Linked DNA regions of Drosophila melanogaster. The protein of the gene in region 1 interacts with the protein of each later gene in a pairwise test. Each region holds a gene or a part of one and is shown on either strand. Other genes may lie near its edges.

The links.
Region 2: the proteins of BtbVII (region 1) and net interact in a two-hybrid assay, tested with the Drosophila melanogaster proteins (one large-scale study listed by BioGRID).
Region 3: the proteins of BtbVII (region 1) and CG8478 interact in a two-hybrid assay, tested with the Drosophila melanogaster proteins (one large-scale study listed by BioGRID).
Region 4: the proteins of BtbVII (region 1) and Odj interact in a two-hybrid assay, tested with the Drosophila melanogaster proteins (one large-scale study listed by BioGRID).

What each region holds. Positions count from the first base shown.
Region 1 is NT_037436.4:3,146,959-3,151,678, forward strand, and holds the start of BtbVII (BTB-protein-VII), read left to right. Parts: upstream 1-1,687; 5' UTR 1,688-1,729; intron 1,730-1,741; exon of another isoform or gene 1,742-1,779; intron 1,780-1,943; exon of another isoform or gene 1,944-1,963; intron 1,964-2,174; exon of another isoform or gene 2,175-2,202; intron 2,203-2,669; 5' UTR 2,670-3,024; coding exon 3,025-3,195; intron 3,196-3,256; coding exon 3,257-3,884; coding exon of another isoform or gene 3,885-3,899; intron 3,900-3,969; coding exon 3,970-4,214; coding exon of another isoform or gene 4,215-4,226; intron 4,227-4,305; coding exon 4,306-4,414; intron 4,415-4,720. Other genes in the region: Usp5 (ubiquitin specific protease 5), read right to left, coding at 1-512, 574-1,087.
Region 2 is NT_033779.5:81,899-89,301, reverse strand, and holds net (net), read left to right. Parts: upstream 1-1,914; 5' UTR 1,915-2,209; coding exon 2,210-2,282; intron 2,283-5,024; coding exon 5,025-6,034; 3' UTR 6,035-6,881; downstream 6,882-7,403.
Region 3 is NT_033777.3:9,761,845-9,766,635, forward strand, and holds CG8478 (uncharacterized protein), read left to right. Parts: upstream 1-1,909; 5' UTR 1,910-2,058; coding exon 2,059-2,091; intron 2,092-2,181; coding exon 2,182-2,782; intron 2,783-2,836; coding exon 2,837-3,703; intron 3,704-3,764; coding exon 3,765-3,994; 3' UTR 3,995-4,291; downstream 4,292-4,791. Other genes in the region: Snap24 (Synaptosomal-associated protein 24kDa), read right to left, coding at 367-1,005; MED6 (mediator complex subunit 6), read right to left, coding at 4,597-4,791.
Region 4 is NT_033777.3:17,806,907-17,810,943, reverse strand, and holds Odj (oddjob), read left to right. Parts: upstream 1-1,721; 5' UTR 1,722-1,826; coding exon 1,827-1,943; intron 1,944-1,997; coding exon 1,998-2,728; intron 2,729-2,788; coding exon 2,789-2,908; intron 2,909-2,965; coding exon 2,966-3,290; 3' UTR 3,291-3,537; downstream 3,538-4,037. Other genes in the region: Alg1 (ALG1, chitobiosyldiphosphodolichol beta-mannosyltransferase), read left to right, coding at 1-464, 526-1,086, 1,145-1,364; CG17801 (uncharacterized protein), read left to right, coding at 3,875-3,997.

The DNA.
Region 1 (4,720 bases):
GTAGCAGGAGTTGCCCAGATTGCGCATGCCAGTGTATCCAGGACCAGCAACAGGCTGCAGCTCACTTTCGCTCTCCGTAAGCGCCGTCCACTCGCCGATGCGCTGGTTAATGTCCAACTCTAGCTCCACCATCGACTTCTCGCTCTTCTTCATCGCCGCCATGTTGATGCCAAAGTGGGAGAGATGGCGCTCTAAGTGTGGATCGAGTACCATTTCATCCTCCGGGTAGGAGAACACATCCGACTTGCCATCAGCGGTGATGGTGCCCAGTTTCACCGCCAGCGGGAAACCCGTTACTCTGTAGTGCTCCACGGCGTGATCGTTGCCGCCACTGCCGTCAAAGAACTTGCGTCCGCACATGATCGAACCATCGGTCAGATTAAGCCAGAGGTTGTTGGTCAAGTCGCACTTCTCGCACTGCCAGCCGGATGGGGGAATCCTCTTGCCATTATCCAGCTGCTGCAGGTTATCTGCGTACTTCGACGCCTGACGCACTTCACCATCCCAGGTGCCTGAAAAATTATTGATTTTAGGCTACCTTCGTCAGCATGGGATAACAATCCTGCAACTCACCCATCAGCGTGGCCTTCTCCAACTTGGCAATTGCCGAGTCGGCGGCCAGGATCGCTTCCACCGACTGGGTGACACGCATGGGCAGCTCTGGATCCGGATAGGGCAGCTTCTTATCCAGGTGCGGAGCCACCACGATGCTGTACGTGTCCTTGATCTCGTACTTCTTGGCCATGTCCGACTCGTTGTAGCCGCCCTCGACGCCAATGGCCAGGCGGGTGATCTTCCGTTCCGGTCCTGCCTCCGACTCCGCGCATTCGGCCTCCATGTCGGCGCCCTCCTTGATCGTCTTCACCCGCTGGATGTGGAGGAAGACCCGGTTGCCGGTCTTGTCGGCATACTCCCGCACATACGCCTCGCCGAAGCCCAAAAAGCTGTGCAGGCACACGTACAAACCGGTGGGCGTCTCGGGATTGTCATAGGAGTAGACGCACTCGTCCTTGTAGATGGGAGGACTGCCCGCCCCGGATGCGCATGGCACGTTCACCTTGGATAAATGCTTGCGTAGTTCCTCCATAACGGTATCTGGAATCCTGTAGGCAGCTCTTTTCTCATAAACTTTACGGACCGAATGTAAAATAGTATAGTTGATTTTTTTTGCAGCTGCTGCTTAGAGATGAACATGGGAAAATGCATCGATACCGGCGAGCATGGATATGCGAATATCGATGGGTTGAAATGGTGTTTTACTGGTTGAAATCAGCTTTTAACAATTCTTACCCTTATTTTTGTACCTTATAACGGCTTTTGAGTGATATTTACGTATTTGGCCGCCCAATAAGCACAATTAGTTTAATTTGACTGCTGCAGGCTATCGTTGTTTATTCAATACTGTCATCTCTAGCCAAAGCCAACAACAAATTCGCGAGTCACCAAGGGAACCGAACTGGTTCCGTTAAGTACGAACAATGCGGGGAAAGTGTGGCAACGCCGATTGTGATTCATCAGATGTATAACCGAAGTCAACATTTTAAAACAACAATTCAAATGTTAACCATTTAAATACAATAAACAAATTATTTTAAAATTTGGGACAATCTTTAACAATTGGGATACTAGTTTTGATCTAGGACTGGTCACACTATTAAGCGACCTGTCAACTCGTTGTATACAAAGTTGCCATATAGTCACAAAAATCTTTCGCATAAAGAAGTAAAACGTAAGAATTTTCATATGCGTTTTTCGCCAGGAAATCCGCATTAAAATAATGTAAAAAGTGGTAAAAAAGTTGGCGCAAAGAGTGAGCCAGTCAAAGGCATTGAAATTCAGCTCGCTCTAACAGTTTTCGGCGTTGTTTTGCCCCTCGCATAAATTTGTTGCGCGCCATTTTGTTTTTGGAAAGCAAAAGAAAAAGAAGAAATACAACAGCAAAAACCTACCACAAAAAGTCAAAGTTTGTAAAAGCGATAAAAAGCAAGAGGAAAAGGAATTCTGTGGGGGGAAAAGCGAGTGAATAACATGTGGCGGCTTGGCTAGTTCGAGCATCATCTTTGTGCCTCTAAAAGACATACGAAAATAACGCGCGACATGCACATAAATAAATACGACTGAAACACTGAAAACTGAAAATATCGATACGATGAATAAACGAAGAAGCAGCGATTAGTACGTCGTCGGCGGTCGTCTGTGTGGGTGAGAGAGTGAGGAAGACGGGAATGGGGAAGGCGATTAAGTGCGAAAGAGATGGAGGAGCGCGGGGCGCGTATATAATTACGTCATAAGAATTAAAGAAAATTCAAGGTCTACAGCACTGCGGCTATACAAAAAGCTATACGATTTCGTTACGTTCTCGGTTTTATCAAAAATAAAACTTTGGCCAGTGAGCAGCAACAACAACAAGTATGGCTGTTGTGTTCCAGTGTGTGTGTGTGTTGTGTTTCATTTTCGCGACTGTATAATTACATACACACGCAGTCCCGCCGATGTTGTTGTTTCTGTTTGATTTTTTATTGTAAGCGAGAAGAGCGCGCAGCTGTGAAAAGCAGATGAGAGAGAGAGAGGAAGAAAGCGAGAGAGTGGAATTTGTTGTTGAGCAATTTGTGTAACCATCGATAATGTTTGATTTATTTAAACCCCATTTTTATTACCCCTTTTTGCAGTGACTCGCGATGCGTGCGGCATAGAAGTCGTCGCCCCCCAAAAAACCGTGATCCCGACCCCCCACACGCACACACACATGTACAGACTGCGATTGTTCATAAATTTAAATTGATTAAAAGTCGGAGCGAAAAAGTAAAGCGAACAAAACACCGGAAAGCAAGGAAAATTAATAAAAATCAATAGAGGCGAGCGGGAGGCGATAAAAAGTGTTATCAGTGCGAATTAATTGGCTACGAAGAAGGAAAGAAGCAGGAGGCGGAGGAGCGGGAGCAGGAGGAGGAGGTTGCTCCGGAGATTGAGGTTTAGGGAGCTCCAAATCCGCATCCCGGACGCGGATCCGGACCCCTCGACATCATGTCCGTGCAGCAGTTCTGCCTGCGGTGGAACAACCACCAGCCGAACTTCATCTCCGTGTGCTCCTCGCTGCTGCACAATGGCACCCTGGTGGACGTCACCCTGGCAGCCGAGGGTCGCCAACTACAGGCCCACAAAATAGTGCTATCCGCCTGCAGCTCGTACTTTCAGGTAAGTTGGAGATCGCCGCAGCGTATATCCCTTACGAATTACACTCAAATGTGTTCGACAGGCTTTGTTCACCACAAATCCGTGCCAACATCCCATTGTCATCCTGAAGGACGTGCAGTACGATGACCTAAAGACCATGGTGGACTTTATGTACTACGGCGAGGTAAATGTGTCGCAGGAGCAGCTGCCGCACATCCTCAAGACCGCCGAGATGCTCAAGATCAAAGGCCTAGCGGAGATGCCAACGGATCCGGCCAATCTTACCAAGTCGGATAGCAAGTCCTCCACCGACGGCACCGAGATGGTGGGCGGTGCGGGAGTGGGCACTGGAGCGGGCAACTCGGCTGGCAGCCTGGGAGCCGGCAGTGGAAGCAGCGTCGGCGACTCCCTGTGGAGCAGCAGCGAGGCCCAACAGTTCCAGCAGCAGCAGCAACAGCAGGCCCAGCAACAGGCACAGCAGCAGCACCATCACCACCAGCAGCAGCAGCAGTTGCAGCAGCAACAACAACAGGCGCAGCAGCAGCAACAACAGCAGCAGCACCATCACCACCACCATCAGCAGCAGCAGAGCGGACAGGCGCAGGCGGCGCAGACGCATCACCACCAGATGCGACGTACGCCGTCGCCTTTGAGCGCTGGAACCTCGCCGGCCACCAGGCGCAAGCGCTTGCGCAAATCCTCGAATAACGGTGAGTTGGAGTTGGGTAAAGCATCGTCGTGATAGATCCAAAATTGTAAGGTCTCAAAAAATAACCGGTTTTCGTAATAACGCAGGTTCTGGCGATCGCAACAACGCGGAGGAGCAGCACAACAGCTCACTGGACGCGGGCAGTGGTGCCGGCAACGCCGGTCTCAGTCTCGCCCAGATGAACCAGATGACATTTGGTGCGGGCGGCGGCTTGGCCGGCCACTCACTGCACGCGGCTAAGCTGCTCAAGGAGTCGGCCAGCGCTGAGCTAGAGCAGCAGCCGCAGGACTCGGATCTTGACGATGGACACGGACACTTACACATGCAAATTGTAATGAAATTGGTCACGTTAACCTTGTACCCTCGTCCGCATGAGCAAAGTCACTAATTGTTTTCTTTTTCTTCTCGGTGCCCACGTGCAGAAGCCCGAAGTCGACATTGGCGGCGTGAACCAAACGATGCCCTTGGACATCTCCGGCGGTACCACACCATCCGAGCACGATGCGCCGAACTCCCAGTCCTCGCACTCGGGTAAGTCGCAATTGGAAATCAAAAGCCAGCACACTGTTCCATCAAAGCTCATTGTTCATCGGGTAGGGATCTCATTCGCCAGGTTGGATTCTTTTTTTTTATCGTTTCTTAGTTTTGTTTGCCTTGATTACTTTAAAAAACACAAATCACGGACAACTTAACTGCAATTCGTAGTCAAAAGAAAGCTGACACACTATAGACTAAGCAGGAGTCAAGAGGGAAAACGTGTATAGATCAGAAATGACTTGACTTTTTTGAAACGAGCATGACTGAAAGAACATAGCTTTACAATGTTGGTATCATTTG
Region 2 (7,403 bases), on another chromosome or scaffold:
ATGCCGAGAATGACAGGTAGAAATACCTATATGTGTATGTGCGCATGTACAAATGCATATGTGTTTTCAGGTATCGAATCGATATCCATTTTAATTAAATATATATTGCTATTTTTATTTCGGTAAGTTCTTTTTCAGAAGCCAAATCAGTGTAACTCGATTTGTGCATGTTCGTCAACACCATGTTGTCCGCAAAATACTTCTTCTGACTTGATCTTTGGTGAAAAGCACATATCTACATATGTAGAAGCCAAACTGACTTCATGTACTTAGAGCCCGTCCTCATACAGAAGCCAAATCAGTAACCGCAACTTTACCTAATTTTAAAAAAAATCTTTGCAAATGATTCCGAAGTAATTCTAGCTGGGGCGTACGGAAAAAATGGTTTACTTTTAAAGGAACAGATCAAATTTCGCCGACACGTACACGAACCATTTTTGGAAGTCCAGCATTCTTATCCTTGAACTTCCAGCTTGACAAAGGCTTGATCGCGACCTAAACGGCGGTAGCGGAGGACTGCTCAGGTTGCTACACTGGAGATTGTGAAGTCTGGGGTCTGTCCAATCGAAGAAAACAGGTTAGGCCGCAGCCCAATCGCATACTTTAAAAGCAGAACAAGTCTCTAAAAAAACGAAAGTCATCATTCAAAAAGCATTTCGCGCGACAGACTCAAACTCGTGCCCAGTGTACATCTGCTAAGGATATCAGACAAAAAGACGAAAAGAACCCTAATGATATTAGGGAACTGGCTCTTGCATTCATTCCAGCGGCAAGTTTTTTGTTGTGCGGCGTTCGAAAGAATGATCAGCAAATTTAAACTTTTTCCTAGAACTGATCTTTTTTTTATCCAAAACGTAAGGAGGTATTCATCCTGACTTAAATAAATTTCCAAATACAAGCATATACATATATACATACATAAATATAAAAGAAGCCATGATAATCCAACTTACAAAATTATGACGAGTTCTGTTTAAAAAAATACATACGTATCAAATAAAATATTTGTAAACTATCTAAGAAACTGACCATTCTATGCCTAAAAATCGAACAGCTTGTGCAATACTAAAATTAAATGTTGACATTATTAAGACCGTTGCTTTTACTTTCTTCGCCAGTGCCATCCGCAGATGAAATACATACTAATACATATTTTATCACGTATGCACAAATGAAATTGACGCTGGTATATGCGTTGTGTCCAGCAGCAATGTTGCAAGAAGAATAAACTGTTTTAATAAAGTCCTGATTATGATAGAGGCTTTAACAGCCTTATAAGTCAAACTTTGCAAAATGGAGAGCAGCCGAAATTAATTAATCTTACCTAATTCAATGGCATTTAAGATCTTTTTCTGTCCAAAATATTGAATGTATATTCATCCCGATAAGTTTACAAAAAGTCAAAAGACATTTTGTCATTGAAACATAAGTAAGGCCGCAGAAAAGTAATACTTGCAATCAATAAGTTGAATACAAATTTTTTCTAGTCGCAAATCTCAAGCGAGCGAATATTTTCATTCATAAAACTAATAATGTGGTAGTCAAACATGTTCGACAGCGAACCGATCCAGCGGTTCGTACCACAGTGCTGGCAGGTCTTTCTGCCTAATATTTCTGGTGCCAATAAGTTCAGAGGCCTAGCAAACTTAGCTGTTCAAAATTTTGCTTTAAAGTATTTATATATTTCTTGTAAAGATAAATACTTTATTTCTTATTAAGCATATAATTTACTTATGGAAGAAATATATTTTCTGGCTAAGGGCGCAATTTTTTTCAAGCCATACACACATTAGGACAACGGACTCTAAAAAAACTGAATGGTCAACACTGATAACCAAACGCAGTTCGACCGCGTGCTGCTTTTAGCATGAAGCCAGCCGGTCCCTGGCGCAGGCCATTTCAATCCGCAAGATATTTTCAATCCGTCAGATACTTTCGTTGTGAACAGTCGTGCTCCGGTCAGAAGATTTTACGAGAAATCGTGAAAATAAAAAGTTCTAATAAGTTGAAGATAGTGCCAAAGCTCACATACGGCTTAACCAAACCACAAATTAAAAAAGTGCCTTTAAACAATACGTGACATTTCAATAGGTTTATGTTAACATAAAGCCCGTAATTGTGAATAAATAAAATATAAGCCCACAAAACTATTCAAATACCGTTTTCGGATACGCGCTACTTTTAAAGTTCTTGAATGTCCTTCGCGGCTATGGCGAATACCAACACAGAAAAACTTTACATGCAACTAAGCGCATCGGAATTATCAGCAATTATTATGAAAGGTGGGTATTTACCTTTTGCACGAGCAAAGGACACTGCACCTGTTGCCTGCGAATTGTGCGGCACCTGCAAATACTTACATAAATATACACACCTACATACATAGGTTTTTTATGTCTTGCAGTCGGATGATTATAATCATTTCCCGCAAAATATTTGTCGACAATAATTTGTCAAATAGCTGTATATTCATTTTTGTAATCGAAACCCAAAAAGAACGAATACAATCATTAAGGCAAGGAGGCTATGGCCCAAGGCTATGCAATAGACACTGAAGATAATTGACGACCAACATTGTTAATAGGGGGTGCTGCCGTGTGCACCCAGAAAGCCCCACCAACTAACACGTTGCAGCAGAATCATATTAGCAGCAGACTTGTGAGGATGGCAATTAAGATGCAGACAGATACGTAAATAAAGCCAACTATGTGTCGCCAGCGTACTCCAACTTTCGTCTTGTGTTGCATATGTCGGCCAAGCACTTTGCCCGCAATGGCGAATTTGGGACGACGATGTCGCCAGACATATTGGCAATTTGTCTGTTTGTGAAGCTGGAGCGACAGTTGGACTCTGCATTGTGTGTCCCTTTTCACCACCGCCTGCTGATTGTTATAATGTTCGAGGACAGACGTTAACTCCTTCCATATTGTTGGTACTGTTTACGTCAGCATTTCATAAAATCGATTTTATTTTTTGTTTCTGTGATCATTTATTTAAAATGCTAGTCTTAATCAGCAACGTTTCGAAATGATTAGTCTAGATGGCCATTGGTTTGGATAGAATAAGGTGTCTTTAATTTAAATTGATCACTATGAGTTTATAAAAATTCCACTTATATTATTTTACTACATAACGCAATGTAGTAACAGGAAAGCCGAATGATATTGGGTTCGTTTTATAACCAACGTAAAAATGTCCTTACCAAGTGTGTCAAAGTACTGCATGATCTGGATGTGTTCTTACGATTCATTCATAAAAGTGATGCGTCATTTTACTACAATATATTTCATATAGTCGCTATAACATATTTACATTTATGTACGTATGAGTATATGCACTTGTTATGATAAGACGAGGCTTCCCACACAGGGAACGCTTCCCAGTGGACCGACCGCCAGCCAAAAGCCGCCTATGATGATAACCTTTCGTTGACTTTTGGCGTGAATATGGGATTTTCTTATGCCTCTGACAGTTAATGTCTGCCGTTTTTAAGTAGGTTTTAGCTGATTTTCGCAGGAGGGCATTCATTCTTAGAAAAAAAGGCCAATAACGGGAAAACCGTTGTCAATTTCTGAGCAAAACTTGCTATTTTGTACTTGGCACCTAAAGACGGATCAGATCCATAAAAAATAAACTAATTTGGGCGTACAAAAAACATCTTAAAATATTCTTAATATAAACAATCGAGAATAATACCTTCTTCCGTGTATACTAAAAATAAAATAAAATGTGCAGGTATTGCCCTTTGGTCGTTAGATGTAACTTTAAGTGTCTGATACGGACAACTTAAATATAAATTGGTAGAAATTTATTTTTTAAAAACTTGGCAAGCTTTAAAAATGTTTCCGTTTGGCACAGGTGTTTTAAACTAGACGACGCCTGCGAGGACGGTGGCTTAAAAGTAAACATTTGTCTAAATATAAATTAAAATGCGGTATATAAACCACGCAAGACATGGGATAGAGTTAGGGCTATAAAACTGATGTTATTTGTACAGCCTGATTTCGTGGCCGCAATGTCAGTCAGTTGCTTTGAATTTCGTTTCGTTGTTTATCTGCCTAAAATTAGAAAAGATAGCAGAATATTGTGCTTATAAATAGTTGAATAAACATGCAAAAAGCTTACCTTCCGTAAATGTGTGTCCGCACCGGTTCAAACAAACAGGGAATAAATTTACTCATTCTTAGCCAACTTAGCTTAAGTAATTAATTTAAAATTAATAACAAGTAATTATTGTATGTATGATTGCTGACAAACATATACATATATATAATGGATAGGCTGATAACACAATAATTGATTACAAAAAAAATTAGCTGTTGAAGACAAAGTTTTTTTTTGCTTAAATACCGGAATACTTATAAATATCCTAGCAGATTCTATACCTTTATACTTTGCTGGCACAACCAAAGTTGAAATCGCAAACAAATTCGATCCATGTATGTATGCTCGTTTATATGCATTGTGATTTTTTTTTAAATTGCTAACCGGGTTGTTGGCTTCTGATGCAGTGGCTGCTTCATGCTGAACTTGAACTGGCTTTATTCGCCAGACTTGAAATAAATTACTTTTAACAAGTAAGCTGCGTTTCGGCACTTCAATACTTGTGGAGGTCAGTGGTAAATTAAGAAACCTGTTTTGTTTTCGTGATCAATGCATAATTTCACTTTATATAATGGACTTTCTTCTCATGTAACCTCCGATTTGAATGTATTAAATAGATTTCATAGGGTGGAAGAACATATTATAGATAAGAAAATACGTCAAAACTACGTCATCCAATTAGTTTCGATCAGATGGTAATAAAAAATAGTAACTAAAGATTTGGGATTTATTGAATTTTGAAAAGTCGAAGGGGTGTCACACAAAGGCAGTCGCAGCCCTATTCGGCTTGCTGGCCTGTTCCGCGAAAACGGGGGTTTTTTTAAATTTACGAATACGAAATGCCAAACATTAGTAACCGGTTCGGCGTAATACGTCACAGATAGAAGATAACTAACTCTTAAATTTTTTGGTATTTTTAGATTCACCCAATTCCAACGACCGTGATGCGGGTTTTTGTTCCGCCAGTTCGGAAAGCGAAGGCGGAGACGACTTGGTCGTCGAGCACGCGCGCAGTGGCAGTCCCGACATCAGACCAAAAGGAACAGACTCGGCGGACTCCAAGCCAATAGCCCTTGTCCGCAACAAACGCAAGAGTTCGGAACCCTTCAAAGTCGTAGGTTTGACGACTCCCAACTCTAAATCCATGCCTGGTCCTCCGTCCAGTGCGAGTATGAATGCAACTGGTCCGCTAAAGAAACGCATACGATACACATCTTCCGCCGATTCGGCAGTTGTCCTAACGCCACCAGCCATAGACTCTCCACCGCCCAACAGTTGCATACCTTCCACGTTGCGCCTGCAGCATGAAATAATGCCTAATCCGGCACATATATATGTTCGCCATCCGGGAGTTACGACTCTTCACAGATCGCTTGCTGCCCACCCAGAACAGCTGGAACCACTCGCATTAGTAACGACCAAAAAGCAATGTGTCGACCAAGCGGGGCCTAAAATAGAGGCCTTTTCCGCATTGCTAATTGGAAAACAGCCATCCGCCAAAAAAACGTTGAAGGAAAGGACGCAAAAAGAATCAACGTCATCTTCCTTTTTAGAAGCTAGTCTTAGCGATGAGGATCTGAACAAGACGGGATTGGCACCAATTTCGCGACCTCATCAACATCAACGCAATTACAAGAATATGACTAGGGAGCGCCGCATTGAGGCGAACGCACGTGAACGGACCCGTGTACACACCATATCCGCCGCCTACGAAACGCTCCGCCAAGCTGTTCCAGCCTATGCCAGCACTCAAAAACTTTCCAAACTCTCCGTTCTTCGGGTAGCGTGTTCCTATATACTAACCTTAAGTAGAATGGCTGGCGAGGATTACAGCGCCGATCAATCCGTACCGTCCATTGCCACGTGCTTAGAAGCTGTAACATCAACCATCCAAACGGAGGGAAAAGTGAAACGAAAGAAAGACGAGTAATCTGTCCAGTTTCGTGGATAACTTACTTTTTTAGACTTTAAATGCGACTGATTTCTGCTATTTTTTTAAATATTTGTGCTTAAGCTTAGATTAATCTGCATACAGCATTCCTATCCACATGCTTTGATTCTTTGCCAGAAGTGGCCTAATAGCTTTAAAAGTTTTCAAGGCTTTGTTAGATATACAGACTTCATGAGTTTAAAAAAAAAATTTTTAAGTATGCCTGCATACAATTTGTATTTGATATTGACATTGTTATGAATAAATACTAGCGATGTGATCATAATTTAATCTCTACCTACAGAAACATTTTAGTCAGTACAAAAAGTCAACGCCATCTATGTACGAGTGTATAAAAAGACAATAATCGGCATCCTTAAAACCTATGTAAATGACAATAATGTAAACTATATATTTACCTAAAAAAGTTTCAGTTTCTTGTTTCAAACAGGATTTTTATATCAATTTACAAGTTTTTAAAAGAAGCTTTGCCAAAATGTTGTAATTTCACCATCAACTTTAGTTACCTTAGGACTGAATATGAAAATGTATATTTTTTTACATGTACCTCTATAATAAGATCAATTCTTCTTTTACGAATTGCATACAACAGAGATAATCAGTAGTAATTAAAAATCCGTAGTTACGAAATTAAATAAAGAATTTAACAAATTTCAGTTTATGTAAGTAACTGTAGACGTTTCCTCTTCAATTGTAATCTCATTGTTTTGTATACATTGATATATTTGTACCCATGTATACATTCATAAGTGTACGTGCCATAGAATCAGGAAATACACAAAACTTACTATAAAGAGAATGTATTTTTATATAGAGTTGGGATTTCAGGTGGTCGCGGTTAAAATATTAGTCATCTGGGTGCAAGCGCACTAAAGGAAACCATATAGAAATGACGGCTTTAAGGGTTATTTTATGTCTGTACGTTAAACAATCTTATCGTTTGCAACAAGCTATTTCGTGATATTAAAAACTCAACAGGTGCGCAAAGAACGGCACGCTATCGATTTAAGTACACCTGAACGCATCCACGTTATCGTAACGAGTTTTGGCAAAACTTAGTCCCCTTATCAGGTTCGGAAATATATTTGTCAGCTTATCTAGCAGGCACAAAGTTTACCAATATCACAGTAAGTTGACAGTGCATTAGAACTCATGACGTACTCTGAAAGAACTCAACACTATTAACTATGCATATTATTAACAAAGTAACTGCATCTAGTTGACCCAGTGCAATATCCAGAACAAATTACATCAGCTAAGAATCCTATAGAAAACAGGTTAAAAACAGCAATTTCCGATCAGTACATATATAATGACTTGAGCATTGGCGTTATTCAACAAAGAGCAG
Region 3 (4,791 bases), on another chromosome or scaffold:
GTGTAGTAATAGTAAGTAGTTAGTATGTTGGTTCGCATATATGTATATATATATATATATATATATATATATATATATATATATATATATATATATATATATATATATAGTTTTAGAAAGTAGTAGTTAGTTCATCCGGCTCGGCGGCTTAAAGTTCTTGTAAGTAGATGGGTTTGTTACGCTTGCGTTTGCCAGGAGTAGTTGCCACTACTTGTATATGTGTATAATATATGGTATCAATAACGCAATACCACCAGCTACGGTTTGTGCCCACAACATTGGTTTCTTTCCCTAACAACATTGAAATGGAGGTGGTGTCTGACTAACATGTTCGCTATGGTTTCGGGACGTGGCCGTTGTGCATATTTAACTCTTGAGCAGATTGTTGGCGCGCTTGTTCACGCCGTCCATGCGAATGTTGTTGGCATCGCCCTTGGCATTGATGCGATCAACCTGTTTGTTTTGGTTCTCCAGCTCGGAGCCCATGTCCAGGGCCATGTTGCGCAGGTTGCCCAGCATCGAGTTCACCTGCCCGAGATTCTCGTCCATCTCATCCTCACGCGCATCGTTCGTGATCCTGGCCACATAGCCGGACTGCGGTGGTGCACCCATGCCGCCGCGTTCCCGCTCATCAATGACCCTTTGCGGCTGGCTGGCCACGATTTTGCCATCGTCATTGGCCTTCCAGGCGCTCTCACCGTCGTCCTTGATGTTCACCTTCTTCCACGGCAGCACACAGATGCCACAGCACTTTTCCATGCCACTCAAGTTCTTCTCCGCCTCCCTCATGTCCGCGTTGATCCGGTCCATGCCCTCCTCAATGCGGTCCAACTGCTCGCCCTGGTCATCCAGGGCCACCAGCGTGCGGATTCCAGCCTCCTTGCTTTCGTCCATGAGGGCGAGCATCCGACGCGTGCTCTCCAGGGATTCATCGGCCACCTGTCCGGACTTGAACTGCAGCTCCTGGAGCTCAGTGCGCGGCTCGGCATTCTCCACGGCGGCCATTTCGGAACTATCTATCTGGTGAGATCACTTGAACTTGAGCTTGGCAAGTGGTTGAGAGGCAAGACGGCTGTCTTGTTTTTTTTTTGGGTGGGGAAATCTGGCCAGTGACTCACTCGCGCGAGATGAAAAACTACCCTTGGTGCTGGTTCGGTGTGTGAACTCGGTGGATATGTAATTGGGGCGGGGATGAGCTCGTTTGTGCTCCGTACGTAGGAACTTATTGCCAAGGTTTAATAATTTATTTGCGAAAGTATGAATTTTCACACCACACAACAATTCGCCAATTTGTATACTAGAGCTGCAAAAAAATCGATGTTAGTATCGATGTCGTTTTCGATAGGCGATTTTTACGTGTGTTCACACTGTTTAATATTGCATTTAGGCTTAGTTCGCAACAAGTACAATTAAAGAAATTATGCAAAACAAGCTGCAAACTATTTACGAAACAGGGCTTGCTTACGTTTTACTATTAAATCTGAGTTTAAAAGTTTAATATTGCATTTAGGCTTAGTTCGCAACAAGTACAATTAAAGAAATTAAGCAAAACAAGCTGCAAACTATTTACGAAAGAGGGCTTTCTTACATTTTACTATTAAATCTGAGTTTAAAAGTCGATTTACCATGCATAAACTAATAATCCAGTCTGATATTACACTTTTATCTAAGACATGAACCCTGTTCGAGTCTGATAAAACACAATTATTTTATGTTTTCAAAAATATTTCCCATCTAGTCACTGTAACCTTTCAATTCGTCGTGTGCCGAAAAAATTAGATTTATTTCTACAAAGTCTCCTACGCGTTAACATCAATTTGAAAGTAGTGAAGAATTTATAGTTTTTTCAATACTTTTCATAATTTAAAGCCGCGCATTCCCATCGGCGCCGTTGCTATCTTCATTGCGCGCGCAGTGTTGAAAAGTGTGTTTGAAATATTAACGCTTTGTTTTTTCGGTACAGCGTCGGTCTTCAGCTGCTCGAATTTTTGCTTAATTGCTTGTATTTATTAATTTGGGAATTCCTCGTGGCCAATTGGGAATAGCATATACTTAACCATGGACGATTCGCGCAGAACTATGGCCGGCAAGGCAAGTGTTTGGTGGTTTCAGTTGGTGTTGCTTCCATTTGCCGGGAAAAGACTTCCGAACATTATCCCATTTTCATTGCTAAAACAATAGTTTCACTTCCAGCAGATCGATTCCCGTAGCTCATCGATAATGACAAACGATGAGAGCGTCTCCATGTATTTATCCTTTGACGCGGAGGACACCCTGTCCAATGCCAAGTGGCAGTCGGCCCTGGTCACCCAGAACAGCCAGTTCCTGGAGGTGCACAACAGCAAGGTGGAGGTAAACACCGATGATAAGGACCTAAGGCGCACTATCCTAAAGGATCTGCATCAGTTGACCATTGGGGAACCGGACCAGAATTCTCCTCTGCGCCCATTTGACAAAAGTATTCTTAACCGGCACAACGCCTTGTGCTCCACTCCCTCCAAGGGCAATATTTCGACCGAAACGCAGACACCACAGATCATGGAGAGCATAGATCTGACCCAAATTGACGACAAGGAAAACACACAACCGGAGGGGTGTGGCGGCGATAACTCGACCTTGTCCAGTTCAGTGGACGTGACCGCCAATACGGTTAAGGCCAATACCCTAAAAACAGGGGATGCTACCATGGACAATGTATCCTTGCAGGAGGCTGCCAAGACCCCAGCTCCCAGCCAAGTCTATCCCTTGAGTGCGAACGTAGTTTTAGAGAATATAACTGAAGGTAGGTTTATACTATTGAGATATGGTTTCGTTCTATAAACATCTACATTTACAGTATCCAACGAAGGAGTATCCATGCTGGTCTCGCCAGCCGGAGCCGAAAAGGAGGTCGCCCATGTCAACGAGGTAGTGAACGAAGTCTCTGAGCTAATTGCCAAAGCTCTAAAGATCTCCGCTGATTCTGTGAAGCCAGCGACCTCCAAATTAAAAGTGGAGGCGGGCAAGAAGAGGCAGTCCATGAGCTCCACTTATTCGGGTGCCGCCCTACCGCGCCCTCGGCGCTCCTATCTGCCCACCACCACCGCAGAGACGCGAACGTACTCCTTCAAGCAGCGCATGTCGGTGGTGGTCAAGACAACGCTCAACAGCCCAGCTCGCAAGCGGAGTGTCGGTGGCGGTGTGTCACTAAGCCGTCGCAGCTGCTTGCCCGTCTCCAAGCTAACAAAGAGCAGCATAAGAAAGTCGCTCGCTGTGACCAGCGTGCGTTCGCCTGAGAAGATCGCCTCAAAGCCGGCTAAGACATCGACAAAAAGCATTCCGGAGAAAGTTTTTAGCTGCAAGAATTGCAGCACAACCTTTCGGGTGAAGTCACTTCTTGACGTGCATATGCGAATGCACGATCCGGTTGACAACGGAGCCAATACCCTTAAGCGTCTGAACAGCAATCCGGTTGCAGCGGGAGTCTCGAAGAATCGCTGCAAGTTTTGCGATAAGAATTTCGCACTGGAACGTGCCTTGCACATCCATTTAATGCAGAACTGCGACAAGATACCGCCGTCCGAGAAGCGCAAGCTGGAGTTCACCGAGCTGAACCACGAGAAGAAAGCCCAGCTGCCAAAGATCGGTGGCACCAGTGGCATTAACCATCCCATGACGATGCCCCAGAAGCCACAGCAACGCATTAGTACTATTCCCAAATTAGGTAACTATTGATTGAACAGCACGCGTTCTTAGAGAGAAATTATTACAAACCCAATTCACAGCTCCCTCACAAGGAACCCAGTCCATGGCTCCACCGAGCGTGAAAAAAATTCCCAAGAATGTGGCGCATGCCGGCGTCTACCGCACTCCCACAAAGACTGTGCCCTGCCACATCTGCAAGCAGTCGTTTAGGAGCATACTCGAGTTCACAAACCACAGCCTGACGGTGCATGGAAACAACCAGCTTAAGAAGATGACCGGCAGAGAGGATGCACAGAGTGCCCACGATTAAATTAAGCGATTCGTGTGTAGCCTAGTCTATGTCTAAGTTAAGTGCTGTGGCGTAGCTGTGGTCCGGTAACGGCGCGTTGTGAACAGATCGCCGGGCAGCTGTGAGTTAGCAATGCCTGGCATTTCGAGCGCTTCTAACTCAATGTTTCGGTTACTCGAATGCTTATTAATTGTACACTTCAGCTGCACGACTGGACTGCTTTGTGAATTTTTTAGGTTTTCGTATGACATTCACACAAAAATAACTATCGTAGTCTAAATGACAGTAATTACATTATATTCTAGGTTACTAAAAACTATTTTAGTTTTGAATTTTGTGTTTTCTTTTTTTTTTTGTTAAGGTTATTGATTGTTGTTCTTAATTGTTTTCTCACGGAACAAAAATTGCGTTTTAAAATTTGAATATTTAAATGGTCACTAGTTAGAGCCACTTTAAAAAAAAATAGTTGGCAGTACTAGCAAAAGTAGATTTCGCTGCTTTTCGCTGAGCGTTGGTTTGGCCAGTGGAAATGCAGGCAGCATTCAGCGCCTTTTATGCAGCTGCCAAAGGACTCGGACTAATATGTATGTACGTTTTTTGAGGGTGCACCTGCATTCACATAATCACTTGCTCTTCTTTTCGGGCGGTGGCTTCATGTCCACACCCTCGGTTTTGATATCTAGCGGTCCTGTGGCATTGTTCATTTCGGAGGCATTTCTCGCTGTGTTCAGATCATCGCCCGCTGGTGGCGGCTGCTGGAGATTCTGCAGCATGGGCGGTATTGGTGGGGGAAATTTACGCAAAAGCTCTGCCAGCAG
Region 4 (4,037 bases), on another chromosome or scaffold:
CTCGAGGAGAACTACCACGTGGACATGATTGGGTATCTGGAGACGAGGCCGCTGGAGGAACTGACTCAACATCCACGTTGCCGAATCCACGAGCTAACTGCCGTCCCAGTGACGAACCTAACACCCAAACTGCGCCTGCTCTTCAAGGCCTTTTGGCAGACGCTCAGTCTGCTGATGGCTCTCATCTCCATTGGCCGTCCCAGCTTCCTACTCGTCCAGAATCCGCCCGGCATTCCCACGCTGATTGTGTGCTATCTGTACTGTGCGGTCACACGAACCAAGCTGGCCATCGATTGGCACAACTACACGTACACAGTGCTGGCATTGGGAATGTCGAAGGGAGAGCAGAGTCCTCTAATACGATTGGTTAGGCGACTGGAGCGATACTTCGGCTCCAAGGCACACACACACTTCTGTGTGACGCGGGCCATGCAAGAGGATCTGCAGCAAAACTGGGGCATTGGGTAAGTCCTCATCACATCCATCTAAACGAAGTAAATAACTCAGCCGCGACTCATCTTTCAGGCCTGTCAAAGTTCTGTATGATCGTGCGCCCGCGCAATTCCATCCCATCGACTTGACTCACAAGCACGAGCTGTACCTGAAGCTGGCCAAAGACTACCCACAGTTCCAGGCCAAGGACGCCGAACAATCCGATGTTCTGGAGGCCACCGCTCTTACCCAAAAGCTGGCCAGCGGTGTTGTGCAGTACAGACCACAGCGACAAGCCGTGCTGGTTTCCAGCACCAGTTGGACGCCGGACGAGGACTTCGGTATACTGCTTAAGGCTTTGCAAGCTTACGAGGAGACTGCGCAAGCAGAGCCGTTGGTTTATCCTTCCCTGCTGTGTATCATCACCGGAAAGGGGCCACAAAAGGAGCACTATGTGGCGGAGATCGAGAAGCTGCAATGGCAGAAGGTGTCGGTGATCACGCCCTGGCTAGAGATCGAGGACTACCCCACTGTTCTGGCCAGCGCCGACCTGGGCGTGTGTCTGCACTGGAGCACCAGTGGGCTCGACCTGCCCATGAAGGTGGTCGACATGTTCGGCAGCGGGCTGCCTGTCTGCGCCTACGATTTCAAGTGGTAACTAATCCTGCCATTTACTATTATTACTTACTAACTTCTACAAATGGCTCTTTAGCCTGGATGAGCTGGTGAAGCACGGCGAGAATGGCTTCGTGTTTGGCGACCATGTTCAGCTGGCCGAGCAGCTGAGGATTTGGTTCGAAAATTTTCCAAAGAATCCCAGCATCCTGGAGACAAGAGCTGGTTTTCAGCGCAAAATCCAGGAGTTCCAGGAGCTGCGATGGCGGGAGAGTTGGCGCCTGATCGCGGCCCCCGTACTGGAGGCATTTCTATAGAGCATTTTGACAAAGATTTGACAATTACACGTTATGAGAGACTTCCTTTGATTGCTAATCGCTTTTTCTAGGCTAGTTACTACAAATTCTGTACACAAAAGAGCTTCAAACTTGCTTATGATGCTTATTTTATTTTTATAATCGTAGCCTAAAGATAAAAATAAATTGCTAAAAAAAGGAGATATATACAACTATTTATTCGCTTGTAAAGCGTGTTTTCTTAGGAGTATTATGTATTTCAATTAAAAAAGAAAATTCACGGGATGCAGTGCCGATTTTTTTTTATTTGAACACCAATATCGATAGTCTGAAATAAACATCGATATATCGGAAAATTTTAAAAACATCAATGTTTGACACCTCTAGTTGCGGACAACGGTCACACTTCAAAACCAAACCGGCTGCGCAAAAATTACTATAATTTGTAATTAAAATTAATCAATTTTATTTAGTTTCGAAAGAATGAGCACCGAGTGTCGGATCTGCGGCGAGCGCATCTTCACGCCGCACCCAAAGAACATCTTCGAGAAGCGCAATCATCGCATTCGGATGGCCATCGAGCAAATCACGGGCTTAGAGGTGGCGTCCCTTTTATTTGTTGTCCGGAATTATTCATAATCTATGCATTTCCAGATCGTTTTAGAGAATATGCTGCCCCAGCACATATGCGCTTGTTGTCTCCTGGACCTGACCCAAGCCGTAGCCTTCAGGCAGCGATGCCTGGAGACGCACGCAAATCTCCACCAGAGGATCTCCTCGAAGGCGGGTGTCGCCTCAAAAGGCTCCCCGGAGGTTTCGCCAGTGCTTAGTGATCCGCTGCTGAAACGGGAGGTGCTGGATGATACAGTAGACACCGAGGACGATAAGGAGCTACTGGACGATGATAAGGATTTAATGGATGATGATAAGGATTTCTTGGAGGACGAAAAGCCGATTTTAAGATATCCTCCGGCCAAAAAAATCCGGATCGAGGACCAAAATTTCCCGAACAGACAGTCCCCACGAGTCAGGGTCAAGCGGCTTCGTGTGCCTGTGGTCGAGAAGGCAGATAGTCCACCGCCACCTCCGCGGGAGCACGTCCGAAAGCCCAGAAAGCGGCGACCAAAACCCAAGGTCGATCGCTCGATAAAGCGATACGTGTGCGACCAGTGCGGTTGGTCGTTCAACGATCACAGCAACATGAAGGATCACAAGCTGCGGCACTTCGAGGAGAAGTTTTCATGCGACGAGTGCGGTCGCAAGTTCTACACCATGCCACTGCTCCGATTGCACATTCGAGTCCATCACAAGGGCGAGAAACCGTACGTCTGCAAGTTCTGCGGTATGGGATTCGCCAATAGTCCCAGCCGCTGTCGTCATGAACGGTGAGTGCTGGCCTAATCATCACAAGTCCTTATCTATATAAACCATAAAAACCTTGACAGTCAAATGCATGCCAACGAGCTGGTGCACCCGTGCAAAATATGCGGCAAACGATTCAACAGCGAGAAGGGACGGCTGAAGCACGAGGAGGGGCACAAGAGTGACCAACCGGATGTCCATATGTAAGAATCATTGAAATATACGTAGCCATAGATGTACAAACTCATATTCTTTCACAGCTGCCTCACATGCAACAAGGAGTTCAAGGAGGCGCAGTTTTTGCATCGGCACTACTCCACAAAGTATCACCGCAAGCGGGTCAACTTGCTGGTTAATGGTCCAAAAGAGGAATTCCAGTCTGAAGTCGATCCGGCGGAGTTTCCGGGATATATGGAAGAGGGGCAGGCAGAAATGGAGGACAACCAGGCTGAACTGGACGTAATGTTAGATAACATTGACGAGGAACAATATGAGGACCACGAGGTACTTCAGGATGAGGACGCAAATTTTGAGGACTTCGAGTACGAGGAAGCCATTCCCGATGGAGAGGAGCTGTACACCTAACTTTAAGCACACAAAAAAAATCGACTGTTGGCGCCACACACTCCACACTCCACACGCCACAATGCCAGGGATGCAAACTATCTGACTTTTTCGGTGGTTCAGAGAAATCCTTTGAATCACCAGCCAGCCGTACGATTAGCACCAGTGTGGAAGGAATTCAACGTCGGTCTTAGATTACAATTTGTTATAAAATATATTTTATTCTAATTGCACAGCGCGCTTATTTTAATAAAAATTATATGGAACCAATTTCAAAAACGTCAGGAATTAGCCGAACGTGTGTTTTAGCTTGAACCTCTCTTTTTGGGAAAATTTAACCTCCCGTTTATAATATATAAATTTTAAATTATAAAAACTAGCTCGATGTTCCCTGGTTTCTAGGAAATAAGAACAGTTAGTTTTTCCACACCTATCTGGTAACGCCATGAAACAGGTAATTCATACAAATTTTGCTGCTTAGAGAGAGTAAACAGAAATTCTCGGATTGCGTACGCTCTTTTACCGTTTTTATTCCATAATTGACAACATAAAATCAATTAAACTACAGCTGATTGTTTTGGGAATTCAGCGGGATAAATGATCATATGTTTGAAATGAAAAAGCCTTCGCAATGCCATTTGTGCGCCTCGTGTTTCTGTCACCTGAATCCCACGATAATTTTTTGCCTGGAAGTTCTGGCCAAGATCAAGGATCTCACTGGAATATGGGTATGTTGATGGTTTCTTGTGTGCGTGAATGGCATAACCC